Linked DNA regions of Arabidopsis thaliana. The protein of the gene in region 4 interacts with the protein of the main gene of each other region in a pairwise test. Each region holds a gene or a part of one and is shown on either strand. Other genes may lie near its edges. The genes, in order: AT1G76520, FKBP15-1, RABE1c and NAC089.

What was found.
Region 1: the proteins of NAC089 (region 4) and AT1G76520 interact in a two-hybrid assay, tested with the Arabidopsis thaliana proteins (one large-scale study listed by BioGRID).
Region 2: the proteins of NAC089 (region 4) and FKBP15-1 interact in a two-hybrid assay, tested with the Arabidopsis thaliana proteins (one large-scale study listed by BioGRID).
Region 3: the proteins of NAC089 (region 4) and RABE1c interact in a two-hybrid assay, tested with the Arabidopsis thaliana proteins (one large-scale study listed by BioGRID).

The regions. Positions count from the first base shown.
Region 1 is NC_003070.9:28,711,211-28,720,047, reverse strand, and holds AT1G76520 (Auxin efflux carrier family protein), read right to left. Parts: upstream 5,284-8,837; 5' UTR 4,665-5,283; coding exon 4,527-4,664; intron 4,420-4,526; coding exon 4,340-4,419; intron 4,266-4,339; coding exon 4,141-4,265; intron 4,051-4,140; coding exon 3,929-4,050; intron 3,839-3,928; coding exon 3,689-3,838; intron 3,616-3,688; coding exon 3,523-3,615; intron 3,430-3,522; coding exon 3,329-3,429; intron 3,209-3,328; coding exon 2,970-3,208; intron 2,884-2,969; coding exon 2,759-2,883; 3' UTR 2,138-2,758; downstream 1-2,137. Other genes in the region: AT1G76530 (Auxin efflux carrier family protein), read right to left, coding at 1-233, 334-434, 526-618, 696-908, 940-1,061, 1,155-1,279, 1,352-1,431, 1,507-1,641; AT1G76510 (ARID/BRIGHT DNA-binding domain-containing protein), read left to right, coding at 7,550-7,945, 8,083-8,216, 8,319-8,358, 8,736-8,788. UniProt on the Arabidopsis thaliana protein: Involved in cellular auxin homeostasis by regulating auxin metabolism. Regulates intracellular auxin accumulation at the endoplasmic reticulum and thus auxin availability for nuclear auxin signaling.
Region 2 is NC_003074.8:9,178,985-9,186,614, reverse strand, and holds FKBP15-1 (FK506-binding protein 15 kD-1), read right to left. Parts: upstream 4,000-7,630; 5' UTR 3,925-3,999; coding exon 3,858-3,924; intron 3,744-3,857; coding exon 3,694-3,743; intron 3,209-3,693; coding exon 3,146-3,208; intron 2,842-3,145; coding exon 2,751-2,841; intron 2,644-2,750; coding exon 2,539-2,643; intron 2,238-2,538; coding exon 2,152-2,237; 3' UTR 1,936-2,151; downstream 1-1,935. Other genes in the region: AT3G25221 (uncharacterized protein), read right to left, coding at 1,823-1,927; AT3G25210 (Tetratricopeptide repeat (TPR)-like superfamily protein), read right to left, coding at 5,128-6,267. UniProt on the Arabidopsis thaliana protein: PPIases accelerate the folding of proteins. It catalyzes the cis-trans isomerization of proline imidic peptide bonds in oligopeptides.
Region 3 is NC_003074.8:16,914,433-16,922,658, reverse strand, and holds RABE1c (RAB GTPase homolog 8A), read right to left. Parts: upstream 5,133-8,226; 5' UTR 4,873-5,132; exon of another isoform or gene 4,757-4,872; 5' UTR 4,752-4,756; coding exon 4,679-4,751; intron 4,496-4,678; coding exon 4,423-4,495; intron 4,320-4,422; coding exon 4,219-4,319; intron 3,685-4,218; coding exon 3,619-3,684; intron 3,517-3,618; coding exon 3,419-3,516; intron 3,333-3,418; coding exon 3,270-3,332; intron 3,180-3,269; coding exon 3,087-3,179; intron 3,003-3,086; coding exon 2,919-3,002; 3' UTR 2,641-2,918; downstream 1-2,640. Other genes in the region: AT3G46070 (C2H2-type zinc finger family protein), read left to right, coding at 1,702-2,214; AT3G46050 (Galactose oxidase/kelch repeat superfamily protein), read right to left, coding at 5,475-6,587; RPS15AD (ribosomal protein S15A D), read right to left, coding at 7,130-7,228, 7,396-7,556, 7,636-7,768. UniProt on the Arabidopsis thaliana protein: Involved in membrane trafficking from the Golgi to the plasma membrane.
Region 4 is NC_003076.8:7,373,148-7,380,562, forward strand, and holds NAC089 (NAC domain containing protein 89), read right to left. Parts: upstream 4,630-7,415; 5' UTR 4,352-4,629; coding exon 4,150-4,351; exon of another isoform or gene 3,970-4,149; coding exon 3,716-3,969; intron 3,550-3,715; coding exon 3,319-3,549; intron 3,233-3,318; coding exon 2,897-3,232; 3' UTR 2,692-2,896; downstream 1-2,691. Other genes in the region: AT5G22280 (peptidyl-prolyl cis-trans isomerase G), read right to left, coding at 1,125-1,379, 1,810-1,965; NIT4 (nitrilase 4), read left to right, coding at 6,254-6,416, 6,498-6,677. UniProt on the Arabidopsis thaliana protein: Transcription factor involved in plant cell division.

The DNA.
Region 1 (8,837 bases), on a different chromosome or scaffold from region 4:
CAGCATACTGAAGAAGAAGAACGAATTGGTACAAGGGTTCTGAGGTTACTAAATCCAACTTGTATGCTCCTCTCACGAGTAAAACACCGCTTACAGGTAGCAAAATGTAACGAGCTACCAAGACGCCGATAATGCAGGAGTTTTTCATTTCTGAACTCCTCACTTCCGACCTCCTCATTCCTTTAAGTAAGTTTCCTCCAAGAATCAGGGTCATAGCAGGAATGGCCCCATCTCTTTAGCCAAAAGAAACAAGACACAGAAAAAGTGAGTTTTTCAAAGAGATGAATCATTTGTTGAGCTACTTCTAAGATAATGAGACTATTCTACAATTACCCCAATAGGGTTAATGAGTCTTGAATCACACGGAAAGGAGCTACGGTGCCGATTATTAGGTTCCTTAAAGGAGTAATAAGCCCAATCACAAGCGCGATAATCTGAGAAAACAGAAGAAGAAGAGATAAGAAAGATATACACTAGTGTGAATGTCTTGAATGTATATAAAAAAGGTGCCACTGAAACACAAACTGCAGCAATAGTTGCTGGAGCAAATATTGACCCAAGGTTGACTTTCTTTGACAGAGAAACAACTCTTTGCTTGACTTCTTCCCACCTCCCAACCTGTCAAACACACACAAAGTCACTGCCAAAATGAATAACACTGATGATGATGATGAAGAGTTGTTGATTAATGAGACCTGATGGTTGTCTTCTTCTTTTTCTTCTTCCTTGGAAGAAATTAGTTGGACTTTGCAGCTGTCATCATAGTTGGATTCAATAGAGTGTGTGTGTGTTTCAACGGGAGAGTTTGATAGCACACGCATAAGATTTATATATAAGTCCATGAGTAAACCGTTCCCGCCTGATACATACCAATTAGTGTCATGTTTATACACACTGATAAAAAAAGCCTTGAAGAGAGACAAGAGAGGAAGAACTAACAGTCATGGACAGTGTAACATAACCCATTCCGTATTTCTCGCAACTCTCAGAATCTCCAAAGGGACCTCCTTTCTCCTTGCAAATGGCTGGGATTATAATGAGAGGCATAGTCCCCAAATTCCCTGTTTTTGGTTTCATTCATCATCACATTCATAAGCAAAACATACGATACAAAGAAAGACAAAAAGATTCTAAAATCATGTCAAGGTTTGTACCAGAAGCACAACAACTAATGATGAGACCACGAAGCTGTGAAGGAGGCTTAGTTATGACAATAACAATCCAGCCGAGTAACGAACCAATCATGAATGTGAGCAGAACATTAACCGGCATAAACCACCTGCAATGCAAATCCTCATTTTCATTATAACAAGTGAGCTTAAAGATGATGCAAAATTTGATATTGACTTACATTTTGACCAAGCTTTCATATGTAACACTATCAGCTAAGCGGCTTCCAATAAGCGAAGGACTAAACACATAGAAGACAATCTATACACAAACAAAAGAGAAATTTAAGTTAACTCTTTTAGATTATTTGTTAAAGAAGAGAGTTAAAAAACGGACGTTGTTCAAATGTTTGCGAGCATCATGACCAAGAAGATTGACTGTGTCGAGAGCCAAATAAAATCCAACTGATGTTATCAACAAAGTCTCCACAACTGGTTTCGATGAAGCTATGAACAACTCCAAAAGCTTCATCTCTACTTCCAAAAGTTAGAATCTGCAAACTTAATCCATATATTACATGATTTGAGATAAAGAAACAATGAACCAAACGACGATAACTTATGGAGAAATCAAATGAAATGGTATAGTTACCTTTTTAGAGGAAGAGTGAAGGAGAGATATAGAGTAAGTATTATTTTTGTTCCGTATGAAAAAACCAACGTATCATAACCACCAACTCTTTATCTGAGAAAAAAAGAATACAAATTATAAGGGAACCATCGTCATGCCTTTAGTCACAGCGACTAGGAAACGTGCCATGTTACTTTGTGGTTCTTGCTGAAGATGTGGATATGTCGCATTGTGTTTACCGTATGGTAAAGAACAATAACGTTGATTTTAAAAAAACTTCTGTTGTTGTCATCTATTTTCTGAAGAATCGTTTCATAAACTAAAATGTTTCAGTACTATAATTTTTGTTTTTCCACAGTTTCACTAGCTACAAATTTATATATTACATATAGTATATCTTGGAGTCTAGCATGCACTTTAGCCCTGATGTGGAAGGTTATACATCAAAATCTCAAATATGACGTGATGAGACATTAATTGATCTTAGAGTACGATTAGGTTTGAGATACATGGACACAGATGTAAAGAAATTTATCACAAAATCCACCAATTAGAGCTTTTTGTCACCACTCTTTTCTCTCATCATTTGTACTCACTTGACTGATATGTAATAGTCTATTAAACCAAATGTAACAATCTGAAATTTTTCTCAGGTGTACCAAACTAAACAAAGGAATAGCTTTCTGCCATGGCCACAGTCACAAGTAGTCAAGTAGATTGTTCTCTGGTTTTACCCTGTTTCAAGAGAGAATGATTTGGGTATCATAACAGAGATTTTAAGCCTCACAATCTCTTGATGGATCCCAAGACAATGAGGATCAAAATAGCAGATTCTTGATGAGGCTGGACTTGATCTTCTATCTGTAAGTTACAGACTGTAAGTCCAAAGTTCGTATCAAAAGACTTATAAGTATATGTTCTCTATTATACTTGATCCAATCATCTGGAAGTCCAAGAACAATTCTTGAATCAATGGAACAAAACAATACATGTAACATGATGAGTATGGGGGTCTATTCTAAGCTACAAGCCACATGAAGAATGTTGGCCAAACAGTGAGTGCAATCGAAGCCAAAGAGTAAGTCCAGAGCATAATCACTGAGCATTCACTCTCCCCAGTTCCAAATAACTGAGTAATTGTACCTGCAAGAGTAAGTGAAACTAATGAAGTGATCTTATCTGAAAGAAGTAACTGTATTTTTTAAAGAGTTGGTTTCAGAGCAATGAACCTAGATTCATGGCTGGTGGGACAGCATATTGAAGAAGAAGAACGAATTGGTATAAGGGCTCTGATGTAACTAAATCCAACTTATATGCTCCTCTTACGATTAAAACACCGCTCATAGGCAGTAAAACGTAACGCGCAACCAAGACGCCGATAATACTGGACATTTTCATTCCTGAACTCCTCAAACCTTTGAGTAGGTTTCCTCCTATAATCATGGTCATTGCAGGAACTGCCCCATCTCTTCAGCCAAAAGAAACAAGACACATAAGAAGCTTTCGAATGAGTGAGTTACGTTTTTCCAAGAGATGATTCATTGTTGAGCTAATGCTAAGATAATGGTCTAATTTTAGCTGCAGTTACCCCACTAGAGTTACTGAGTCTTGAAGCACCCGGAGAGGAGCTTCCGTGCCGATTATTAGCTTCCTTAAAGGAGTAATGAGCCCGATCACAAGTGCAATCATCTGGAAACAGAAGAACAAAAAGGGTAATTAGAAAGATTACACTAGTGTGAGTGACGTCTCAAATGTATAAAACAGAGCCATTGAAACACAAACCGCAGCAATAGTTGATGGAGCAAAAATTGTCTTAAGGTTGACTTTTTGTGACAGTGAAACCAATCTCCGCTTGACTTTTTCCCACCTCCCAGCCTGTCATATACACACAGTCACTACCAACTTTGATAAATGAATAGTTACTGATCATGTGCATATGTGATGAAACCTTTTGGTTGTTTTCTTCTTCCTTGGAAGAAATAAGGGGAACTTTGTAGCTGTCGTAGTTGGATTCAACAGAGGGAGGGGTTTCAACGGGAGAGTTCGATAGCACACGCATAAGATTGTATACATAAGTCCATATGTAAATAGATCCCATCTGATACGTTACCAAGTACTGTCATGAGACATACTGATTACAAAACCTTGAAGAAGAAGAAGACAAAGAAGAAGAAGAAGAAGAACTTACAGCCATGGAGAGAGCAACATAACCCATTCCATATTTCTGGCAACTCTCAGGATCTCCAAAGGGACCTCCTTTTTCTTTACAAACAGCTGGGATTATAATCAGTGGCATATTCCCCAAATTCCCTGTTTTGTTTCATTCATTACCACAGTCATAAGCAAAACACAAGTTAAACAGATTCTGAAATCAGAAACATTCATGTTAAGGTTTGTTACCAGCAGCACAACAACCAAGAATGAGACCACGAAGGTGTGAAGGAGGCTTAGTGATGACAATAACAATCCAGCCAAGTAATGAACCAATGATGAATGTAAGCAGAACATTCACCGGCATGAACCACCTGCAAATCCTCATTTTCATTAACCAAAGAGCAAAGATTACAGACTCAAGATGCAAAATCTGAGATTGACTTACATTTTGACCAAGCTTTCGTATGTAACACTATCAGCTAAACGGCTTCCAATAAGCGAAGGACTAAACACATAGAAGACAATCTATATACACACACATCAAGAAAATGATAACAAAACAGAGACATATTAAAGTTGAATCATTTAGATTTATTAAAGAAAAGAGTAAAATTAAGTGATAATTAACTGACGTTGTTCAGATATTTACGAGCATCATGACCAAGAAGATTGACTCCATCGAGAGCCATATAAAATCCGACTGATGTTATCAACAGAATCTCAACGACTGGTTTTGATGAAGTTATGAACAGCTCCAAAAGCTTCACCATCTTTTTACTATCAACGCGAGAATCTGCAAGTATAAGTTAACTGTAGCAGAGGAAACAGAGAATCAATGGAGCTGCAAGAACCGCCGAAGAAAACAGAGCAATCCAAGAAGGGAATGAATTTTTTAACCGATTTAGAGGAAGAGAGAGATTTATCGTCAGTGGTACAGCTAGATGACAGTGAGAAGCCGCCGTATCAGAACTTTCTCACTCTCTCTCTATGAAAGAGAAAGAGCGTCTCCAAAATTTGGCCTAGTACAACACTTGCATGGTCGCCTCTTCATTCTATTTAAATTCTTGTCTATCCACAAAATGCTTTTTTCAAGAAACTAATCTCTTTATTTGGGGCAAACTTAGAAACTAATCTTTTTAACTAAGGTAAATTATTATTCTATGCATATGGGAAGAGAATTTCATATTTTCATCCTACATATTTTGTATGTACAACTTGGTGTCCGCATGATCCGGGTCAGACTTTTACATCTTCTTTGTTTTTGGAATTGTTTTGTTCCGTATAAGCAACAAAATAACGTATCATAGATTCATAGTTAGCTCCTTTTTGAATTCCAACTTTCACAACTTATGAGTTATGATATATCTCGTAAGTTTATGTCCTTTGATTTTGTATATTTTCCAATTTTTTGTAACCTAGTTTATGTACAAAAAGAAAGAGGAAACAGTTCCACAATTTTTGGAAAACTCAACTCAAGCGGGGTCTTTGTTTGTTTCGTATATTGTCGTATAACACTATTGAGAATAATAAGGCTTTATCTGAGAAGACGAATTTATATGGTAACCGTCGTCATGCCTTTCGTCACATCGACTACGAAACGTGCCCCATGTTTTTTTCTGGTTCTTGCCCAAGGTGTGGAGATATTGCAAAGTGTTCATCGATTGTTGAAGATTTATTATTTATTTTATTTTATATATTTTTTTAAAAAAAACATTTTTCTTTTTGTCATCTATTTTTAAGGGGAATTGTTATAAAAATGTACATTTTCATATGCGTCGTAAGAAATTTGAAATGGAAACAAAACTGAATGAGAATAAGATAATAGTGTGGTGGCTTAAATTAATTGTGTGATGGAAGCGTACCAACGAAACGATCGAATATTAATGATAACGGAAAATTCAAATTAGTGTGTGAGGCTGCGACCAGTGTCCGTCCATAAAATTCAATGCAAGATATAAATGTAACAACCCCAATATCAAAATAGTCGACTAATTCTTACCAAAAAAAAACAATTAGCGAATAATTAGAATTATCATACAGTGCTAAAAATATGTATATATATATATACGAGATACAAATATTTAAGTATATATTGTCAAAGTGCAAATTTTAGTGATTTATTAATGAAAAATACACAATAGACTGGATAATTGTAGAAGTGGGATATATTATACACACTACAATAAAAATCTCTTATGTGACTCGAATCCTATAACTCTTCTCATGTGAAGCAAGAGATATTAGACCATCCTTAATTCCTTATATGTAAGCTTATTGTATATGCAACAAGCCTAATGAAGGCCATGTCATGAGCTATCTTCTTATTTATCTATCTTATTAGAGCATGAATAAACTTGTTTGTATAGGATTTCTACTCACACAAGAGACTTGTGAATATGTATTTTTAAAGAGGTTAATTAACAGTATTTGATATTTCTATGATCTCATAGCTATGAATATGATGATTCAAAGAACGTGAACAAAAGATATCTGTAACAAAAAGAAAAGGACAAAGATATGTCAAATTGAAATGCTCCACTCGTTTTAATGTCCGTGAATGAAAATAACAAACTTGACATATATTGAAAATCTTGATTTGTACTATTGGAAATGTGGGGCATCAAAGACTATTATTCCCTAAAAATAATGGTCCTTAATTCATTAGAATTTTGGACAAAAAGCTTTGCTTAATTCTGTACCATTTTGCTTCGAATGAATATGCTCATACTATTTGTTATCCTTTGGATCCACACCAATTCATTAAATTGCAATTATTTGTCACTTTGACAAGTACTATACCTACATACTGAGAAAATCATCATCACCATAATTGTAAAGTTAATCACGTTAATTATATGCTAGCTAGTCTATAATTAAAGATTCAAACACTATATTTTTTTGGTACAACAAAAACTCTATATTGAACATGAACGCACAATGCTTCGATATTTCTTTCTCTATCTTTAGTAACAAATAAAAACACAACAACAATCGAGACAAGCAGAAACCTACGTTGTCTTCCGTGTTTAATTGGGCCTAAGATTATATTCATAATATACCTTACATATTGAGCCCATAGTTTACAATAATGGGCTTTGTTATGTAAATGGGTCGTAAAAGTCCAACTTTCTGAAATATCATTAATAAGTTTTGCTATTAAGATCTTCGTTAAGAGTTAATACAAGTAACAAGCATTAATTTCTTTCTTAATGAATTCATGTGTTCATTATATCATCCGTATAAATCTTTTGATCTGCATATCTCTCCGTTTAATTGATATCTTTCCGTTTCTCGCTTCTTTTTCTCCGCCGGCGTCCTTCCATTTCGCCGGCTGCTATCGAACCCTAACCCGCGACGACTCCACCGTCTCCGGCGTCTTCTTCTTCCGGCGAAACCGGTAACCGTATCTTTTGTTTCTATGTATGTACTCCATGATTTCGTGAAGCTCTGCTTTCTAATGCTTTAGTCGCCATCACTGTTTGAATTATAGCGAATCAGTGAGAGAGTAGGACTCAGAGTTTTGATGCGTTCCAATTCTCGATTACATGCGTCTTGCATTCTCTCTGGAATTATCAATAGTGCGTTTCTATTTATGATTTCTGGATTTTGAATTCTGCGTTGTTGTTGTGATGCTATGTCTCAGAGAATTAGCTTCATGATGGCGGATACTGAAATGCAAGAGCAAGATGTGCCGTCTGGTACCAAAGGTGTTGTAGAGGAGCCTTCAGAACTAGAGAAAGACCTAAACTCTATTGAAAGACCTAAGTCCCCTGTTCCAGAGGATACGACTCATACTTTGGATAGTGATGTTCATTTATCTGATGCTCCCATTGCTAATCAAATTGAGGCTAATGAAGAGGTTGGTGGTCAGAACAGTGTTGATGGGAGGAATGGTGATGTTGATCAGTCTGAAAAGAAGATTACTAGTGATGGCGGTCAAGAGGAGACAACACTTGGGGAATCAAATCCTTTGAAGGGGGATCCGTCGAGTCCTCATGTTCCTGAAGAAAGTGTTAAGAAGTGGAAGACATGGTTGTTGAGTGATGCTGAGGTGATGAGAGCACTTTTCTGTCACATTTCAGACAACTAGTCTGCCTGCATTTGCGTTAAGCGTTGAATATTGTTTTTTGTGAGATCTGTGGTCATCACAGTGGCTCTATTTCATCACGAGTTCACGTTTTTATACAGGCCAGGGAAGTTGATGAAGCAGGGGCACCACAGGATCAAGAGGCGTTTATTAAAGAAGTGGAGGCCTTCAACAAGGAGAATTTCCTGGAATTTAAAGCCCCAAAGTTTTACGGACAGCCCTTAAATTGTCTCAAGTGAGTTGTTGGAAGTGTTGCTTTAATTCTTGGAAAATTCCATACTTTTGGTTATGCCTTGTTTGACGTGATAACGTCTGCATGCTTTACTTTGAAATGTAGGCTTTGGAGAGCCGTTATCAAGTTAGGTGGCTACGATGTGGTAATGATCTACTTTCGAACTTCCAATGATTTTATGTTTACTAAGATCTTCTCCTCCCTCTTCCCCTTTAGGAGGTTAAAAATCTTTTAGATTATTATCTACAGGTCATGCGATTTATACGTTTTGGGTTGTATAACGTGTGAACTATAGCTAATGAATGAGAAGATGATTTAAGAACAAGGAATGGCTTCCGGAAATAATTAAGTCAATGCAGTTATGTGTTAATTATGTTAGGTCTGTGTTTTGGCAACTGAACTTGCTTAGTGTCATCTACTCTGTTTGAAAGTTTATACTCAAATCTATCCCACCGCCCACGTTGCTTGAAACTCTATGTCTGTGGTATTCAAAATTCCTATGATTTTCATTTTCTTATATAGGTCACCACATCTAAGCTATGGCGGCAAGTTGGAGAATCGTTCCATCCTCCAAAGTATGGCTTGTATTGTCCTCAATCTTCAACCTTTTCCGCTTTCTTGTAT
Region 2 (7,630 bases), on a different chromosome or scaffold from region 4:
TAAGGCAATTAATTGTGTAACAAACGAAAAAGATTCGAAATATATATGACAATCCCATATGTCACACAAAACACAAAAGCACTAACTTTAGGGGAATCATATGAAGACATTAAGCATCACTATTTTTGTGATGTTCATTGAAAGATAGCAGAATACCATATGAAGACATATATGGCAATATACCAATAAAAGATAGACTGATAATCCAGAGGAGGAATTTTCATTTCCAACATTGATCGCCACCTACGCTGAGGTCGAGATCACCGAGGGGAACACAACCGACGTAGATCGATATAACCACCACCGTACAAGACTCATTACAAGAAAAAAAAGGAGAAGACATTTCCACCACACTTCCCAACTTTAGCAAAAGATAATGTTTGAACTAGATGGTTAGGTAGGAAAAAAAAACGAGCAAAAATATGCAAGAAGTAGATGGTCGACTAATTAAATTGCACTAGACTTGGAAGTTGGAACATAAGAGCACATAAGTGGGTAACACATTGCGTAGGCTGATTCTCCGAGATCCCTTCTTTAAAGGATCCATCGACTCCAAAGTCTCCAATGATGTAAGCTATGTTGCGCTTATCTTTGTAGTCTTTATCAAAAACCACAGCGACTTTCTTCTCCTCGTCAATGAAGAAACTCCCCAAACAAAACTGAAACGGAGGGCCAATGAGTTTTCTTATACTCACTGATAAGAACACCTTGCTGTTCCACGACACCGCGTTGGGCTCAATCGTAGACGTAATCCAGATCTCCATCTTTTATTTATCCCACGGCTGATATAAAACCGCAAGCTGCTCTTCTCTAACATTAGATACACACATAACATCTTCAGATTTAACAAACACAAACGGAAGAGTCAAAAGAGGCCCAAATGTCTCTCTTGTGAAATCAAAACAGACTAAGAAATAATCGTCTGTTTCGGAATATCTCTCAGTAGCAAACCAGTATGCATTTCCCTTGAGAGACACGCCAAGGTTCATATAACTTATCGTCCAATCTGGAGTGACATCAAGAACCCTCCATGAATCAGAGTTAAAATCGTAGATTATGAACTCATCCATAACCCTCATCCAGTAAGTAACAAACCTCAAGATTTTGTGGGATTAGCTGCTAGCTCTTGTTGTATCCGAGAGCATACATATATTATACCTATTGAATATGTGGCAGTTATGTGTGGGTTCGATCGTACGGGTATGTCCCCAATCATACGGGTTCCAAACCACTAGCCTAGTCTTGTCTTTGGTGATGCTGATGAATAACAATAAACCGTTGCAGTGAAAGACTTGAGATATATCAACTTCATCGCCTAAACTAATAAGTTTAGCTTCACGTTTTATACATGATGATTCAACCTTGTTTTGAAGATTGACTCTCATCAATTAAACCCTAAAATTCATCATCACGACCATCATAAACTCTCTTTCCTTTGCAGCTAATTTTGCTTGATCACCAAGGTACTTCTTTGCAAAGCTCTCATATTTGGATAACGTGTTCCACGTTTTGCAAGAAGATCAAACAGTTCTCAGAGACGTCAACGGAATTCTACAGAGCACCTCTTCCGCCAAATCCCTTGGAAGATTGGATATCTTAGTCATTCAATGAGGATCGATATAGCGCAAACTCGTTAGTTCTCGTTCTCTTTATGGAAAACTAGTTAGGTTAACCTTAACAAAACAAATATAAAACCAAAGAAGTATTTTACTTGTTCCCTGTTTATGTGTGATTTATGAAACAAATTGAAGATGCAGAAACAAACCCTAAAGGAAAGGATTCGATGACAATAGACAGAACCAAACAAATAAACCCAAAAAACTCAATTGGGTCGGTCAATATTCACTAAATTAGACTTAAAAGCCCAAAAACCGATCCAACGTGGGACTGAGAGAGGGGCACCGTAAACAATTGGAAGATTGTACATGTTTACTAAATTGGCCAATGTTTTTCTGATTATCTGCGATTGCACGTCGTTCTATTCTGGCCAAGTTGTCATTTTAGAACTGCCAACATAACTAATGTTATGACCAAAATATAATTATTGTCTTCAACTAGCAAAGTAAATGATTCTAGGCTGTTTAAGATTCAAATGCCAACATCGATGACTACTCAAGGTTTCCTTTTAAATGAAAAACAATTATGGTGTAATCAAAGCTCATTCTTTGATTTCGCTTCGCTGGATGGTTCTCCGTTCACAGCAACAAGCTCGGTGTCGAATATCAGTGTCGCCCCACCTGCAATTCACCATCCACTTACACTCATTTCATGGAACATCTAGTCTCAACTGTAATGTCACATTCTTAACAAATGCAGCTAGGGTCGAAAATTTACACAACACAACAACTCTCAGTATCTATCTCCCTATTCTTGGTTCTGATGCACTTACGGTACAAATGCGTTATTGGTTTGTCATTTAACGTGTACAGCAATTTTTATTTGACTGATCAATTCAGTATCAATGTTCTCTCTAGCCTCATCATTAGATAAAAGGACGGAAATAAACAATCTACTAGCCAGGTTCATAACATAACATACCCGGGATTTTTGGTGGTGAGCCGTTATCACCATAACCAAGCTTGGATGGGATTTTCAACTTTCTCTTCTCACCTACACAAGCTCCCAATAAACCCTGGTCCCATCCTGCAACATTTCGAATTAATTGCATTACCTTCAATTTTGTCAGTCAAAAAAAAGGTAACAATAACGAAGGAAAAAGATGGAGTTGATGCGATGAAATAGCAACAAACCTGGGATGACTTGACCAGTTCCAAGCTCAAACTCAATAGGGTCACCTCTCTCAAAACTTGAATCAAAGACAGTTCCATCAGTTAACTTTCCCTGCAACAGAGAACTACGTTATTCGCCAAGCATTTTTTAGATCAGATTCATTCATTATTATTGTTTGTTCTAAGCTATCCAATATCAACATTTTTACTAAATACTAATGAAGTTCATTCCACATTTTCAGCAATTCACCATGCCCCTGATGTTATATGAACATTCTTAAATGTTGCAATAAGAAAAAATCCCTTCCATGGCTCTTCTATTAGCTCAATCAAAATACTATCAAGCAAGCACGAAAGAACCTTCCCAGCAATAAGTTAAACAACTAGTAGTAGTAGAAGCTTCAAATAAAACTTACCCGATAGTGAACCTTGATCTTATCCCCTTTGTGAGCCTGGAGATCACATTTCTGAGGCTTGTACTGTAAAATAGAAACAACAATTCCATGCAAGGGTCAGGAAACTGCATTAACCAAAAGAGTATAGAAGCCAAATCCATTTCCAATGTCTTCATTTCGAAAACAAATGCAAAACTCAAGTATATAGCTTGATGCAAATTGCAAAAAACTGTCTAGAAAAAGCTCTAGAATGATTGTAAGTAATAATAAAACTATAAAACGTAACTATGACCATTATCATCTTCTAATCACGCAAATTGAGCTCAAATCCAAATGAATTTGAAGTTAAACTACGTAATCATGACCATAAACATCTTCTAATCACGAAAATTGAGACCAACTTCAAATGAATTTGATATTAAACTACGTAATAATGATTAATGACCATTATCATCATCTCATCACGCAAAATTGAGATCAAACTCAATGTCACTCGAACAGACTCATACACAGAGAATCAAACATGGAGTAGATAAGATCATAGACGTGGAAATAGCGTTTTGTCTCACCTTAACACCAATCTGCAACTCTGTCACATCACCTGACTTCTTCGCATAAGCTGAAGATCATCATCATCATCATCACAAATCAACGGAGATCAGATCTATGAGATTGAATCAAATCGAAATCGATAAGGATGTAAAAGACGCAAAAAGAGAAGAGATGTATTTACCTAATGTTAGAATGGTAAGCAGAAGCAAAAATCCAACAGCTTTCATGGCGGATGCAGAGCTCATCATCGTCTTCGATCTCTACGTCACTGATTATACGAAAGATCTGTTTCAGGGTACTCTTTTGTTGTGGAAGACAACTAAATGTAATGGGCCTATCATCGTATTATATATAGGGGCCATTAAGCCCATATGTGTATCCACAGATTCACCTAATTAACGTGTTTTCAAGCGGTGTCCCAAGAAGAAAAAACTAACGTGTTTTAAGCGGCAGATCACGGAGTCATTCACATTGTACTTTGTACCTTTGTTTCAGTTTCATTGAATGAACAAATGTGTACTCCAGAGTCATTGAACAAACTAGAAAACGTAACTATGACCATTATCATCTTCTAATAACTTATAAGCTTCCAGAAACGATATATGTTACAAATCAATTTTTAAACCTTCCAACCAAAATGGAGTTTTTAGAACAAACATGTAAAGTTTTCATGAAATCAGAACTAATGCATTCAAGAACAATGTGTTCAAATTCTTTTATGGGAAACATGATTCTTAGCAATGTGTAGTAGAAATAATTGCAGCATTGTCCATGAGTCATTGCTTTGTATTTTGTTTCAGAAGAACTGCGAGAAATAATGGACTGTTTCTTTGACTTCCCAAAAAACAAGAGAATCCCCTATAAAGATGCAGAATCCAGTCAGAATCAATAAAACCACAAAGAGATATATCTAGAGCATTAAAATAGAATAAACTGTAACCAATGCTCGTATGAGATATTGAGCTAACATAAGAATCTTGTGACCTGTCTGAAAATGTAGATCCTGTAACAGCAAATGTTATAGTTGTGCATCAACAGTAATAATACACAAAAGGGCGTTAAGAATCATGCTGAACAGCTTTTGGTTTGCAAGTAGTGTCAGTAACAATTGATATCCTTGATTGTCATAAGACCTCATTTACACAGAACATGATACAAAGACAACATGATTTTGAATCCTTGAATCAAATTGCAATTACAGAATATCTCTAAGCTATCATGGCTTGAGATCTTCAGTCTTCCAATCACACTATGCTTCAACCTGTTATGTATCTCAAGAACACAGAATCTTGAAGCTCAAAACTTGATAACCCTTATGATTCAGATCATTACTGAGATTTGGGGTTCACTAACTAGAGTGCAGAACACAGACTTTGCAACAAACCCCCCCCATCTTGTAGCCCTTAAGCTTAGCCGATTGATCGCCTTTCAGATAAACAGAACCCAATCAATCATCCCTTATTCAAAAAATAAACCTCATCCATCAACGTTCTGTAATTCCTTTCACCCATCACCGGATCCCGTTTCTTCCATTCCTCAACCATCTCAAGAGCTTCACTCCCTCTACCTCCCCTACACAACTCCGTCAACACCGTATTATACGTCAACATATCCGGAGACAACGAATTCGCCAACATATCATACACAACCTCAACAGCTTCATCCAATCTCCTCTCCATAGACAAACTACAAATCAAAACCATATAACAACTCCCATTCGGAACCATTCCTTTGACTTGCATCTCCTTATAAAACCCTAAACCCTGTCCAACTCTACCTTTCTCACAAACCCCTTTAACTAAGTAACTATAAGTATAAGCATTAGGCTCAGAGCCATATAAAGCCATCTCTTTAAACACTCTTATAGCTTCATCAACCTCAAGACACTTTGCATAAGCTTTGATAATCATATTCAACACAAACGTATCCGGAATCACACCATTCGATTTCATCTGCTTCGTTAACGATCTAACGGCGTGTAGATACACATAACACACATTCAATTTGTTGAATCTCTTAAGCAATGAACTTAGTAGCAAAGTATAAGTTTCAAGGTCAGGCTTTGAATCATCTGATCGAAGCATTTTGTTATAAACATCGAAAGCTCTATTGAAGAGAAACTTACGACCACAACAGAATCTGATGATGCAATTGTAGAGAGGAACACTCATTTCACAAGCTCCGGCGATTACTTCTTCGATTAACGTTTCGACGAAGTTGTTTCGTTTTCCGGTGATTGCTTGTTTGATCATAGTGTGGTAAGCTTCGTGATTGTGTTTGTAGCCTCGTTGTTGAGCTGTCCATCGGAATATGTCGAGAGCTAGATCTGGATCGGATTGAGCTCGTAACGCTATCACAACGTCGGAGTTTGTGAATCCTGGTTTTAGATTCTGAATCCATGTTTCGAATTGAGTTTCGAGTGGTGTTCGGGTTCGGATCCGGGAAGGGGAAGTGTGTGATTCCGGTGAAGATGAGACGGAAGAGAATGATAGAGATAGGTGGTTCACGGCGGTGGAAAGAAACGGCGGAGATAGATTACGGGAGCGATTTGTGGAGGTGAGAAGAATGAGGCGTCGGAGTGTCGCCGACATCGTACGGAACGAGAAGCTGATTCTCCGGTGTGCCCGTTCGTAGAAGATGTCAAATAGTAGGGTTTATCGAATTTTGAAATTAATTACCTTTTGTTTAGATAAACTGGAAAAAGAATAAGGGAAAAATAACTAAAGAAAGAAAATAAGAGTTATATAAATTAAAATTCAAGATATCAAAGTGTGTTAAACGATATGTTATTTTGGGTTCGAAAATTGAATTCAATCAATCAAAGATTTTTAAAAAAATAAAATTCAAACATAGTTTCATTCAACTAAAATTTTATTTTATACTTTTTTTTCTTCACAATTATATCATTCTACTTTAATGATTTTTTTTGAATTATATATGTAATCTATTCTTATTAATTATTATAATGATACTTAACTACGCATATGTGATTACGATGAACAGTTCTTACGAACAACGATTCCACGCTGCAACTCATTCCACAATATTCAGATTTCAAGGAATAATTATGTATGTATGACATCCTTGTGATGGACATAATTATGTATGTATGACATGCTTTCTCTACAACGCTCAAACCATTACAAACAGCTCTACATGTGGTATTTTGGACATTCGATAAGCTTTGCATCATTAATCTTATTTTTTAAAACTCAAACCCCAAATCTAGATGTAAAAATATTAATAAACCTTTGGTTAACCACTATATCAAAGAGACTTTCACTTACTTTAATGATTAGTTATTTAGATTATGCTAAAGACTGTATTTATAATAGTGAATACAGAATACCGAAAAAGACAATTCTAGATGTTGATTAAGGATACATTATAAAAGTAATTCTTACATCAATTAGAAAAAGAAAAAGAATTTAAATAAAAAATAAAATAAAATTGATTACAATTTATAACTATACAGAGCGGTTAAATAAAGATTACTCTTCTGTAATCTCACAATAATTATCAATGGTGTTAGAAAAGGAAAAATAAAATAAAGATTACTCTTTTGTAATCTCACAATAATTATCAGTAATGTTAGAAAAAAAAAAAAAAAAAAACTAGCATTAGGTTTCGTAGGTTATATATAAAGCATAAAAAGAAGGACACAAACAAAACAAAAGAAGCAAACGATGGATACATTGTTCGTCAACAAAGTTTTAATTCCGTTAGGACTTTTCGCCGTATCTTGTCTTTTTTCCCTTGTGGTGTTGACCATTAAGTGTCGTCGTTATGAGGATCCATACGATCTAGGAACGAAGACTCGTTGCATCAATCTCCTTCAAAGTCTTAATTTATATTTGTTTTTATGCACTTGTATGATTCTTTTCTTCTTTTTCTGTTTATGATTATACGTTTGTATTTAAGATTTGTATTTCATATATGTAAGATTTTGTAAAG
Region 3 (8,226 bases), on a different chromosome or scaffold from region 4:
GATGTGAATATTATTTTGATATACACTATTGGAGTTTACATTCAATGTACACTAATTTTCTTGTTTTCTTTAAATTAGCCCTTGAAGTTTGATCTATGAATGGTTTAAGTAGTGTTGAAACTTGAAACCATTATATGTGTGGTCAACTTCAACAACAAGAAAACAATTGAAACAAGTATAACCAGAGACAAGACTAAGCTAACCAACCTCTCTCCACTCTCTCTTACAAGAATCGCACATCCAAGGGAAGAAATTGTTAAAAAAAGGTTCAAATTAGTTAATCTTCAAGTTTGGATCGTTCTAATAAGTAGTTATGATTCCTAAATGTTCTCAAAGTTTTTCTTGTTTTCAGTTTTTTTTTTTGGCACCCGTTATCTTTAGATTATAGACTAATATTAAAAGAATTATCAACTATTCAAATTTTTAATCGTCAAACTAGAGATTGAATCATTGCATTGAGATTTGAATAATGTGTCGAATATAAATAATGAAGTTAAAATTAATTTAAACAGTCAAACTAGCACATAAAATAAATAGGTAAGATGCTTAGAGAAGTCTGTGTGTAGTAAACTTCAACAATAAAATGTTTCTATTAATTTTAATTTTATATGTATTCTTATATTAGATATTAGCTAAATGCTTACAGATATAACATCCTTGTCTCTATTTGCTTATTTAGTGGGAGATGAATATGAGAGATAAACCTAATTTGTGAATAAAAACATGTGAAGAGATTTGTGGTAAGAAGAAACCGCGTGGAAGTGTATCAAAAATGTCGCATCAAACCACTCTCTCATTTTCTTTTTTTCTTCTGCTTTGCTTCTAATAGTTTCCCTCTAGTTTCCGTACAACCACTATTTTCACACTTTTTATTCGTTCCCTTCTCGGTGACTCGTGCGAGAGCCACACACCTCTACTTGTCCCTCATTTACGTACGTTACTGTGACAAAATCTTAGTTAGATAATGACACGATGATCTTCTCAAGTCTTGAGTTCTATTGATCATTGCGAATAAAAAGACGTAGGTCAGAAGATTCCGAAGTATATACAAATGAATAATATGCGTGTAAGTGTAATTACTAGGACATGAGTTTCACAAATAAACTGAACATAAATATTGACTATCGAACCAACAAAAAGTTCTAGAAGTATGTCGACTATGAATAAGTTTTTTTCTTTTTCTTGGTGATAAATGAATACGGATAAGTTACGTACCAAGTAGATTTGCCCAATCTCAAATAGTAAAAGGCGGCTTAAGAAGGAACACGAACCCGAAGAGACCGCGTTAGAATAAAATATTTATTAAGATAATTACAATATTTTTTATATATAATATACATATTTATATATTAATTAAAACTTGTTTTTTTTATAAAAATAATTAAAACTGGTTATAGTACGTCTTTCAATATTTGTCTAATTAGTGGAGGAAAGCAATAAGAATATATTCTTTCACAAATGAATATTTCCATTTTTCCGAGTTTTTAGTGTTAAAGCGGTGACTCTGATTTTCTACATGTACATCTTTACACCGCAGCTTCAATTTTTACTAACTTAGGCAGCAAGTCTTGAGAGGGTATTTTCGTCAATTAAAACCGTCTTTACTCAATCCAGTCTCCTATATATAAGAGGAGTGAGTCAACACACACAAGCATAAAACAAAACCCTAGAAAGTCACTCGCTCGATTCGAAACTAAAATCATGGTTGCTGAAAGTGATAATCGTGATCTGACGGTGGATACGGCGGCGAGCTGTCTGATGTTGTTATCAGGAATTGGAGAACACGACGGAAGAAAGAAACGTGTTTTCCGATGCAAGACTTGTGAGAGAGACTTCGATTCGTTCCAAGCTTTAGGAGGCCACCGTGCAAGCCACTCGAAACTAACCAACAGTGACGATAAATCACTTCCTGGATCACCAAAGAAGAAGCCTAAAACTACGACTACGACGACGGCTCATACTTGTCCGATTTGTGGCTTGGAGTTTCCGATGGGACAAGCTCTTGGTGGTCACATGAGGAAACATAGGAACGAGAAAGAACGAGAAAAGGCTTCTAACGTATTGGTTACGCATTCTTTCATGCCGGAGACGACAACGGTGACGACTTTGAAGAAATCGAGTAGTGGGAAGAGAGTGGCGTGTTTGGATTTCGACTTAACTTCGGTGGAGAGCTTTGTCAACACGGAATTGGAGTTGGGAAGAACGATGTACTGATTTTTCATGTTCGTTAGGGTTTTAGTTTTATTGATAATCTTACATAGAGTAGTACTTTTTACATGGTTTTAGTCTTTGTTGATCCATTTATCTTACTATTCGATGTGAATACATGATCTGAATACAATCTGATATACTATTCAAGATTTATTTTCTTGTTCGCTAAATTTTGGTTTCACGTTTTATTAACCCTAGAATGTTGTTGAACTATGAGAATGGTTTAACTGGTGTTGAAACTACAATATAAGTGTCAGCTATAGTAACTGTAGTGCAACTAAAACATGATAAGTTTCTTCATCACTGGATTGCTAACACAATTATACGTTTACGACTCATAAATCAGGCAGTGTACATATTATGGTTTTGTATTGCTTATGGTTGTGTCAAAGATGAGTTTACGAGTATTAGAAGTAATGTTTAAAGACTTGATAAAAGAGGAAGCAAGAGAAAAATTAAGAACAGAGGATATATAGAGAGAAGTGATGACCAACATAAACAATTCAGTCACCGTCATAAAAAATCAGTAATAGAAAAGAAAAATACAAGTTTCGATTAAACCTTCGTACAAATAGGAAGGACAATTTAGAAGAACGAATCAGAATTGTTGGCATAAAACAAAAAATTACATAAGCACCCAACGATATCTTAGTTTTTCACTTCACCCCCAAACTTTTTTCGACTTAAACTTCACTTTTAAAACTTTTTTAAGTTCCACAGCATGCAGATTTCTGTGTGGCCTGCCCTGCTCCAGCTGCTTGGTCCGTTTGGCTTATCTTGATCGTTGCAGGCTGCAATTGACCACGTAACATGAATGATCAATGCGTTTTCAGACCTAACAACGCAAAGATGTGAAAGAGAGAGATGTAACAAACCTCTGCCCTCGAGTCGGTGTCTGAAAGCCTCTGCTTAATGTCCCTCCCTATTGAGAAGAAAACTTCTTCCACGTTTAGGTTTGTCTTGGCACTCTGCAACAACAACACATATATAGCTAGATGTGTAAGCAATGTAAACACTACCCATCTAGTTTCGAAGATTGAGAGCATTGTTAGACTTACTGTTTCGAAGAACTTAATTCCGTACTCATCAGCAAGAGCCTGACCCTTTGCTGTAGGTACTGCCTGAAAATTTTGACAGGACCAAGAAGCTATTATTATTAGGATCAGTCGTGAATAAGGAACAGGGATAAAGGTGGTGTGCTTCATACCCTCTTGCTTTCATCCATGTCAGCCTTGTTCCCTACCAAGATCTTGTTAACATTATCCGAAGCATGCTGTTCGATATTACGAATCCAGTTCCTAATGTCTGCAATAACGTCAAGAATCGTGTTAGTAAAAGAGATGTTCATTTTGGTTAAGGAGATTTATAGAAACCAGTAAGTGAAAGACTTGATGGTGGGAGTTTTACTGTTGAAGGATGACTCGTCTGTGACATCATACACCAGCAAAATGCCCATTGCCCCACGGTAATAAGCTGCGAAAATGCGAGAGAAAAAGAATCGTCAAAATGGTGTTGAAACAACAGAAACAGATCAGTATAAACTGCCTAAATATCCTAATAATATCAACTAGACAGTACCTACAAAAGTAACCAGCCAAAAAGAGCAAATCAGTAAATTGGCATTGCACAAATGCATCCCCTTTACCTAGAACTATAAGTGGCTATCTTAGACTACTTATAGGCGTTTGTCATCAATCTCATCTTGACAATCTTTCTAACTTGACTTCTATTGTGATGGTGAATGCTAAGCAAAGTGATCAGTGAGTACATTTATACGAAAAGATGAACTATGAAGTGTCGAAAATAGCCCATAAACATCAACTATACAAGACCAAGTAAAGTAATCAGCCAAACAAAATAAATCAGTCAAGTGGCATTGTACAAGAGATCATAGCACATGTAAGTGTTCATCTCCTCGAGAATCTATCTAATCTGATTCATTACTGATGTTGTGAATGCTCTAAGTACTAATCCAGCAAGCAATTCTTATGAAAAAGATGAACTCACCAGTGGTGATAGTCCGAAACCGCTCTTGACCAGCGGTATCCCAAATCTGAAGCTTGATACGTTTACCGTCAAGCTCAATCGTTCTTATCTTAAAGTCAATGCTACATCAAAGCAAAATAGAGAAACAAGACTCTGTAAAAACAGAATCCAAAACAAACATCACAGAATTCAATTTATCTCCATAAGCAAAGAGAAAACACAAACCCAATGGTGGTAATGAAGCTAGTGGTGAAAGATCCATCAGAGAAACGTAGAAGAAGACAACTTTTACCAACACCTGCAACAAAAAAAAAAAACCTTAGGTTACAGAGATCTCTCAATACAAACACCGATCCACACAACGATCTAATCACAAACAAAAATCACAGTGGAATAGATCGATTCAATGGAAATCAAACAGATTCAACAAATTTCAACGGATCGACGATAAAAACATCGGAGAGGTTTCAGATCAACGTACCGCTATCTCCAATCAAAAGAAGCTTAATGAGATAATCGTAATCAGCTCTGGCTCTAGCAGGTGGAGCAGCCATTGAATCTAAAGGAAACAAAAACTCAAAGATCAAAATCTGAGTTTCATCGAAATCGAATTAGATCAAACAAAAGAGGGAGAAATCGAATGAATCGGCTGCGGGAAAGAAGAAGATCATGTACCGGAGAGAGAAGAAAACCGATGTAATCGGAAGAATCAGAGAGCGAAGGTTATGGCGGACGACTAAAATGCGCCAGTTCCCGATTTAGCTTTTGTTTCCCGGCTTCTTCTATTTTACTTCTTCTTCGTCTGCTTCGCGTGCACGATAGGATACACTGCGCACGTTAGTTGGAAACGAAGGAGTGCGCAGAAAAAGAGAGAAGGATTCTTTTTTGAAGGGCCTATATAGAAAGAAGAAGGCACGAAGCCTTATGGGCCTTTTATTAATTACTTTAAAATCAATTAGCTGGACTAAAACAATGCTATAGTAATTTTTATTTTTATATTTGGTATCAAATACTACTACTGTATACTAATGTAATCTGAAGTCATCTTTGGAAATATATACTACTACTATACAACTATACTTTTCAACAATATATAACTCTTTCATAAGAAGTGTGTTGATGTTTATGTTCTTACGCAACTGCATATTTATTAGAGATACATAAACACCACCAGTATTTTCGTTCATTATCATAAAATCTATACTCAAGATGTTCTAAACAAAATCCCCACAAAAGAATTTAAAACTCTCTCAAAAATTAACATAAACTTCCATTGATCAATATGTCACAATGGTAGAATTCAAGAAGAAATCAGAAAGAGAAGCAGGTAACTTATAAGTTTTGTAGTCATCCTTAGTAAAGACATTCTTAGACCATTCAACAAATCCACAAACCTTTCCAACACCGCGTCTCTCAAACGAAATCTCTGCACACCAAATCTCTGTTTTACATTCCTTAGTCCATTTGGGACCTAGACGATGTAACACAGCCGACTCCCACCAAACTGTTACTCTTCTTCCTCGGTCGGAATGTGCCACCGAGGTAAGATAACCAGGAGAAGTTGGCCTATTGGGAAGTCCTTCAAGTCCATCAACCGGACACCACCCACGATCTTCCTCTGGTTCACACCAAACTAACACCCCTTCACAAACCTTTGTTTGGCACATCATGTTCTCTATCTCCACCAAGCAAATATTCTTCTGAAAGTTAAGCTTCAATCCATTCATGTCATAAACTTTCCCACTCATTACCAAGCTACCTGGAACCACACTCATTTGAACAGTAAGATCTAGTGTTGTGGGCAATACTGGCTCCCAAGTTTGGGTCTTTGGGTCATAAACCTCTCCCCAATCCTCGATATTGTTGGAACTAGAGCCTCCAATCACGTAGATCTTATCGTTGATTACATCAGCTGCTGCGTTTTGTCGAGGTACACGCATCTCGGGGAGTCTACGCCATCCATGAGATGGACAATCGAGTACTATCAATCTCCTGCTACTATGTCCATCAACGAAGCCTCCGATTATGTAAATCTTTGAACCGATTGATACAACGGTTGAGGATTGACAAGTAACCGAAGGGATAGGTTTCAGTTTCTGTTTGGTAATCGGGGAAACTATAAACCATCGTGGAGGACAGTCTGGATAGCAATTCCTATGCAGGTCTAAGCAGACGTAGAGGAAACTCTCGGTTTTTCCGATGCAAGATCGTGTTGCGTGGAGCTCACGGGAGTCTAGGAGTGATCGGAAACCCTTGCAGACTAGGGATAGAGTTGGATAATGGAATCTGGAGACACGAGCCAAACAGTTGAGAACGATGTCGTCCGGTAACGAAGAAAACGACGTCGGAGGCGGTGAGTTTGATGATTTATTCTTCTCTTTCGTCGTCATTGTCTTCTTAGTTTTTTTGTTTCTGGTAAACGTCTTCTTAGGTTTTTGATTTAGGGTTTTTGTGCGTTATTAGTTATTTCCTTCAAATTTATTAACGAAGAATACCTAAAATTATACCTATGTAGCATAGAAACCTTGTTGGAAGGAAAACTATTAAATTTTGTTTCTTAGAATTTTAACTTATTTTGTCAGTATTTCTAAAATCTTTTTCGAATTTTCACAGTTCCCTCAGAGATTTGTTTGTATTTTGATGAACATTGTAAATGAAAAACATATTAAAATGTTTTAAGAAAACAAACAAGAAGAGCACGAGACTAAAATGAGTAAATGCCACATATAACGATAAGTCAAGAAAGATGATTTTGATTTCATAAATCGCAAGTCTAACGAATTCAAAAACTGAAATTAATTAGTCTACTCATCTCCAAGTTTTTACGTATCCGAGTGACCACAACATATAAAACTACTACTTTGACAGTGAGGTCAATCGACTTACAGAGAACCAAACTATAACCCGATAAGATAGATCTCGAGACCCTGCTTCAGTAAAAGAACCCAAGAACTTTGCCACCAACGTTCTTTCTCCTAGCTTCTTCATGATCCATGATTCCCGCTGAGGTCGTCAGAACAATGAAACCAAACTGCACATAGAGAAGTGTTCAATGAAGTTGTAACATTGAAAGATAAAGTAAGGCAAAGTAATGACACTAAACATCCAATTAAACCATAATAGGAACAGCAAAGTAAGGCAGCAGATCAATAGCTAAAACATTGATTGGTACCACTACTATATAGTCTCTAGACTAACCTGTCTGGAAGGAAGTAGACGAGCAGTCCATCCTTCAATCTCCTTAACACCGACATCGAAACGAGGACTGATAACTCCACACTTGTTCAGCCTTCCATTAAGCTCAACAACAATCTTACCAGACCTGTGGTCATCAACATACTCAAACTCGCCAATGTAACCTAAAAACCAAGAAGCATCATTACACTTGAAAACTGTATACAGGAATCAAACGCTAGCTCTGCAAAGTTACTAGCATACCGTGCTTTTGCATGACGATAAGGAACTTGATGATAACTTTAGAAGAAGGCCTGATCATAACCTGCCTCTTTCCTCTCTTCTCTGCATTGTACATACTCTTAAGACCATCATTGAGCACACTGATTCTCACCATTCTTCAAAATTTCAAAAACTGCAAAAACATAAATCAACAGCTTCACGAATCTTATTGACATGTACATAAAAACATCTACAGAGGGAACGAATTCGATTCCCTAAAAATTACACACTCTGAAAATGACATTGGAATCTAGATTCTCTGGAGAAACATCAAATTGGGGAGATTAACTAAGCCGGTGTTCCAACAAAACAATAAAGCAGTTCATCGGATTAGAGGAGAGATGGAGATTCCGGCGATTACTAACCTGAAACCTAAGTAGTAGCCGCCGCTCCGACGTCTCTTGCTCGCTTGGCCTTGAAAAAGAGATTAAACAGAAGACGGAACTATTTTTAGGGTTTTCGCTTTTATCGCTTTCACGGGACAGATTCATGTATAACTAAGCCCATTATAAATACATAACTAGGCCCATTATTGATACATAATTAGGCCCATTTGTAACCAAACATGGACTT
Region 4 (7,415 bases):
ATACACGCAAGATGAGAGAGGGTCTCATTGAATGTATATTAATGAATTAGTAGGATTAGTTTCATCTAGCTTTCAAAATAAATATTCTTGTAGAAAATAATTATAATATGAGGTGTTTGTAAGCAATAAATGTAATTTGAAAATAATAGTATGCAAAAGATTGAGTATATGACTTGTGCTTTGAAATTGCATTTATTACCAAATAGTATTTGGATAATTACAAAGGAGATATTTTTGTCCATTTTCATAAATCATCATATTATTAGTATGAAAATCGAAATTCAAATTGAGAGGGAAGAAGTAGACAATGCATTTGTTTCAAACTTGGAAGGTTGTAATGTAGTTAAAATCGGTGTTGACAAAAACAAATTGTAGTTTAATGGGTAGTTGATATTATTAGATTTCTAAAGTCGTATATGATGATACTTTTTTTAATAAACCGAAAATTATTGTTGAAAAATTGATAAGTATTGGTGAATATGAATTTGGATAGCTTGACGGCTAGACGCACGGCCAACAAATGATAGAAAGATTGACCAAAAACAGATGAATGGCTTTTGACTGTTAATATTATTGACTTTTAGAATGCCAAATAGTAAAATGGAAGAATAATAAATGAGTATGTGAAAATTCATGGGAGATTTGGTTTTGTTTGACTTAGAACAAATATGGAGTTGTGGTTGGTGTCTAATAAGAGATTTATTTAGGCTCTGACTAGTGATGAAATCATGGAAAGAATATGACATAAGATTGCTTTTGTCATCTTAGACTTTCGTTAGCCTCATCAGTCAAAGTAAAAATCTAACTACACACAACCAAAGTTTGACTATACCAAGACATCGACAATGATAGAATCAATCAACCATAACTAAAGATATTACAAGTACCCTAATTCTCAACTTTTATTACAAGTACTTAAATATCTCAATCTTACACGTGAATAAAGTAAATCATCCTTCTAATCAAAACATCAGCAAGGTTTTTAACACAACAAAAGTAAATTACAACAGTTTTTACGTACCATTTGGGTTATTTATTAGAATTGATGTAACCGGAGGAAATACTAGTCTTCCACGATGTGTTTCCTCTCGAGCTCAATGAACTGTTTGTTATTATGGGAGGTTTCAGTGGCGTTTCGTGTCTCGTTCTCTCCTTTGCATCGCTGTAACTGCATTTGAAGACTTCGTACAAGGTCGTTTAGCCTCTGGATATGTCTCTCTTGTGACAAGATGATCTGTAACGATTAACAAACTAAGAATTGACAGGTCTTCTTCTATTTTCAGGTTCAAAATTATGCTGAAGTTATGAGGTTCGTCATACATCCAATGGAACTTTAAGGTTGCAAGACCAATAAGTCTATGTTTCTCCACTAACCTCATCTATTTGATGCAATCAGGGAAAACACAACAGAAGGCAAAAAAACCCCGAATATTTCTATGCAACATTAAAAACTCAGATCAGTCATTGATGGATTCCATAGACATTCTCAAAAAGAAGAAGATAGAGATATGAAAGCCAGTTACAAAGAATGTTTGTCCAGAGACTCATGAGACTAGAATGTCGAGGATAAAGTCAACAACACAACTACTAAGGCATAGTTATAGATTGACTCAAAAGGCAAGTGAAGCAGATATAGGAATCTTAAGCATCAGAGCATTCTAAGTTAACTGACACTATCCAATTATGCATATCTCTGCTACAGTTGTACTAATCTATAAGTCACAATCCCAAAACGAATTCTCAGGTCTTTCTCATACAACTGAACACACAAAACTTCAATGAAAAAGAGTTTAAGAATGAAGTAAGTACCTTCTCCTTGACAGCTTCTTCCCTCTTTGCAATTTGCTGATGTTTCTGAGACAAGCTAGGAGCTGCATCAAGCTCAAGAAGTGGTTGCCTCCATTCAAACTGAGAAGTGACTATAAGTATAACCAGAAGAAAGACTAGCATGATCGGCCTCGACATTTTCTATTCAGCTCTTACAAAACCTGTTCCAAATTTCACAATCAATCCATTTCATACCATCCTAAACACACATCCAAAGACCACGCCTAATCGAATTGAGACATATATCGAAAATGAGATCGATGCGACTTAAAATTCACCTACTCACTTCAAATTTTCTAATTAAAAACCAAAAGTAGAACAATGTAAACAGTGTAAGCTGATACTATAAAAAGCAACTCCATCAAATCAATGACCTAGGGTTTCAATACGAATCTCCTTCATATGTAACTAACTTACTAAGGATAAGCAAATAACACATACTACAGAAAAACTGAATTTCCTCAGCACAACAAAGCAAAATTGAAGCATCGTAGAAGATATAACGAAGACGATTAAGTATCTCCAACTTACAGATCGATTTATCACAGTGAAATCAAACTTCATTATCGAATCATCAGCTTTTCTAGGGTTTCTTAAACCGGAAAAATTGACGAAACTGATCGAGATCAATAAAATCGGCTTGACGGAGTATTGAGGAAACTTGACTTCTCCAAAATGGGTTCTCGTATAGAAGAAGAGAGAAAGAAACAAAAGCAGAGGTTTAATGGCGGCGAGAAAATTCTACAAATCTTAGTGCAACAACCATCTGGACGAGAAAGATAAACAGTACGGATTTGGAAAATAGTCATTTACTAATTTGCCCCCATCATTTATCCATTCTCTGATTCTCATTAAACACACCACTTAATAAGCCTTGAAGTGTAAAAACTATATCCACTAGTTCTTCTGTGCTTGATATTTCAGGTTTTGATTTGGTTGCACAGATTTGAAGTAGAAGTGTAAAACATAAACCGTTTACACAAAAACATCATATAATCCTTGTCAATGTCCGAGAAAAGATGATACAAACATAGCTAGGACACTGTTTTTCGCTACTTCCATAAGCCTCTTATTCTAGATAAAACAACATTGCTATCAGAGCCACTACACCTATAATAACATCCCATCGTGCCTTGTTCACTGATTTGATCGAGTATAAACCCACGAAGCAGCTCGACAATGATTCCGTGGCGTCTTTTCCTTTCTTCTTCTGTGATGGTCTTTCCTCTAACAGTGATGACATTTGTTTGTCTATCATGTTTGGTAAAGGAAGTACCCTTATCTCCATTGATGCTGATTCTAGTGTTGGCACTTCGTTTGGTGTGTTCCCTGTCATCACCGCTTCATCGAGATTGATGATTTCGTCTCTTAGGATATCCGCAAAGAAATCCTCGTCATTATCCACCTAAACCACACACACATAACATTCATTAAGAAGAACGACAACAATCAAGAACCATCATACAACAATTAGAAGCCAGGTGACAAAACCTGTAGATTTTCTGATGACTCTGCCATCTCAGCGAGTAGTTTCTCCCCTGATTCACCTGCTAGGTAAAAATCAACCAAGTTGTCCCAATCAGACGGGCTCCCTGAACTCGTAGCGCCATTTTGGACTTTCGCATGCTTCTCGGCTGATGAATTTGGCTTTGGTGCCTTCTGACTTGTACCACTATTGTATTCTTTGTTCCTCCTAACCCGGCAAACAACCATAGCATCATCCTAGAATTTACATAAACATAATCAATCAACTCAAGCCAAAGACAAAACTCCTAAAATTTTACTGTATTCCTCTTAGAGACTCAAAAAGTAGCCAAAGTCACCACCTCTTATGTAATGGTTAACAATTAATCTATAAGAAAAAACAAACTCTCGAGAACAGTTTTACCAGAGATACTCCTTTCACGCAGTACTCGTGCATAATCCAGTCAGTTCTTTCGCCTTTTGGTGCACGACCAATATGGAAAACAAGCGTCCTCTTTGTTCCAATGACCTCAGAACCAGACTTCACATCACGCTCTTTCCCAGTTGCTTTCCAGTATCCCATCTTCGTTGCTCTCCTGTTCTGTGAACCATGTGGATACTTTTTCCCACGCGCACAGAAGAAGAACCACTCGCTATCAGATTTCACAATCGACTTATCTGCAAAGAACAAACACACAAAAAAAATTGTCAATTCCAATCCAAGAGCCAAAAAATAGAAACTTTATATCTTAGGCACCCAAAATAGAGATCTCTCCTGAAGCCTGAAGAACAACAAAATCAAATTCCAAGTAGAAGAAAGACACAAAAGAATCAATTGGTTCGAATTCGAAGACAAACCGGGTAAATCCCAAGGCTCGAAATTGTAAATCTCAAGGTCCGGTATAACCTCAACGGACCTCTCCAAGCCATCCATCTTCCGCTTCAGGTAATACGAAATCAACTCCACATCCGTCGGCGAGAATTTAAACCCAGGAAACACCGTCGACGCTTCCATCGACGCCGCCGTATCCTTAGAAACTCCAACCGCCTTCGTGTCCATGAAGGCTCGCGCGTATACAACAGTCGCCACAAAAAGAGCGCGTAAGAAATCGGCCACCGCCCAAAGAGTAAAATCCGGGAATTTTCGATAACCTGAAGGATTTTTCTTCTCAGTGTGGTCTCTTCTCACTTGCTCAGGGAGCTTTTGAATTGTTATTGGAACACTTCACAGGTGCACACATATGGGTTTTTGCATACGTGTTGCCAAGGCATTGCTTAATCTACGTGTGCATGCCACGTCACTAAACCTAGTTATATTATAGGTTTTATTTCATTTAGACCCTTAATGTTTTTACGTACTCCCAATTTACGACTTATTGTTTAGTGTTTTCAGATAAAGTCCCAATATATATCCGAAATCTTACTATCGATCAATCGCTCACAATTATATATCCCAAAATATCTTGTTCAGGATCTCGTAATCAACAAGCGTTACCTCAAAGTTTTTGTTGATTTGAAGCTTAAGGGTTAACCACTTATCATTACAAGAAAACTTATCCTTCTTGATGGATTTCAACTGCTCCACAAGACTTTCCATATAGTTAAGTTTAATCAAAAACTCATGTTCAAAAAAGCTAAACAAGAAAGGTGAATTTTCGCAAATCTCCCTCCGTAAAACCTCGTACGTCTTCGAAATAGTATTAGTAGTAAAATCTGTGGACTATGTTTCTGTGTCAAGGTACGACAGGGAAAACGAAATGTATGAGTGAACTTTATTGTTGTTTCCATGATGAAATGGGGTTACAAATTACGATCAAATTATACTCAAATCATTATTTGTAAAAAAACTAAAGTGATATTAACGTGGTTAACTCTGTTCTGTTAATTTTTTTGGTGATGTGAATCCAAAAATTACTTTGAAAGTTTCTCGTACAATTAAAAGTTTAAAGTTGATGATGAACGGAAACTATAAACAATCATAACAAGAAATTCTCCAAATTATTTCAGCAACAAATTTATATTTTGTCAAGATCAACAATGATCGATAACGATAATATGATTTAAGAGTTTTTTCATACCAAAACTCTTTAGAATTAAAAATCCTCCTTTCATAGGCCTTTGAACTAAAAAATAGAACTCTTCAACAATATTTTAGTCAAAAGCTAATGATACGTGAAAGAGTTCGATACCTTTTATAACACCATCCAAGGATATAGATCAAGTCTAAAACTAAGAAAAGAGATAAACATCTAATCTTCTAATCCTCATACCTTCGAAAAGTAAACAATAATTAATATTGAATGCTAACAAGTAACAACCAAAATATATAAACAAACGCTTTGTTTGGTTTTTAAGGTTGGTTTGTTATCGAGGGGGTATTTTATCTTTTGAATTTTGTAAAAAATCTATAAATATAGGTGATGATTTTAGAAAAAAATGAGGATTTTTTTACACATTTTGGCATTTCCCCCTACAGTTAAAAAGAGAGTAAAAATCAAAATATATATCATGTGTTGTACAAGTAAACACCTACCAACCAAGCCCATCAAGAAGATACTACTACTAGAATCACTCATTTCCTCTATATATCTTATTGGTGACAAACTGACCAGTCACCAATAAATGTCTCTAGTCACGGCGGCTCCTCCGGTCAACATCGATCAAATCTTTCCCGTGGTTGACGTATACACTTGCGATTCTTCCTCCATCGTACAATATGCATGCATATAAATACCAATATAGGTGATGGTTATTGTAAATGTTTTTAGAGAAAATGAGGATTTTTTAAACCCATTTTTCCCTTCACTAAAAAAGAATCGACACACAAAAAGAGAGAGTTTATAAAATACACGATAATATCAAAGTTAAACACACACCAACCAAGTAAACAAGATACAACACAATTGGAATCTTTCTTCTTTGACAAAAAAAAAAGGAATCTCTCTCTTTCTCTGATTCTCTCATGTCCATGCAACAAGAAACGTCTCACATGACGGCGGCTCCACAGACCAACGGCCATCAAATCTTCCCTGAGATTGACATGTCCGCCGGCGATTCCTCCTCCATCGTACGAGCTACAGTCGTCCAAGCCTCTACAGTCTTCTACGATACTCCCGCCACGCTAGGTTCGTTCCTGTTTTCTCGATTTTTGATTCACTATGGTTGGTGAGATCGCTTTCGATGCCTTATCCACGAAATTTTGTCAGATAAGGCAGAGAGACTGCTTTCTGAGGCAGCGGAGAATGGATCTCAGCTAGTGGTGTTCCCGGAGGCTTTCATCGGTGGATATCCACGTGGCTCTACCTTTGAATTGGCTATTGGTTCTCGTACCGCTAAAGGACGAGATGACTTTCGCAAGTACCATGCTTCTGCCATTGATGTTCCTGGTAATAAAGTCCTCCACCATATCTCCGATTATGTTCTCACTTTTTTTCTTTCGATTTTGGATCTTAGCATGAATACCAGGGCACGCACTTATTACCACATAAATCCATTGTTCTCTAACTAGCTACCAACATAGAACAACTAGGCAACCCTCTTTTATATTCACTTAGGTCGCGTGTTCGATTCACGTTCACTGCACCATTTGATAAGTTTGAAGCTATGAACTCTTATCTTTTATCACTTCTCATTCCAAGATACAAACTCAAGAACTACCCTAACAATGGAGATTTTTTCAAGAGATCTCCTAACTCTCCTCCATAAAACCATACGTTTGTTAAAAACACATCAATACATGCATAACTTCATCAATTCTCTTGACAAGAGGTTACAAAATCTGTTTCTTCTTGCTCTGTTTTAACTCCTTTTCACATGACTTCTATGCTTCTCTTTGCTTATTCACGTGTCTCATAACCTCCTTTTCAGCTACCACACGTATCTCCTAGCTTATCACACTTAAGATCTAATAAATTCTCACCAAAGCCGTCTTTAAAACAGCTTCTGTTCTACTACGACACTGTAACAGAAACTGCAACAAACAACCAAGGTGGTTCTTGTTTTTTTTTGGTATCAAGGTGGTTCTTGTTGCTTTGAGGGAGATGCCTCTTCCTTCTTACATGAGAGCTTGTAGCATCACCAAGATCTGACCAGTTCATCAAGAGACGTAGCTTGGTTGCTCCACC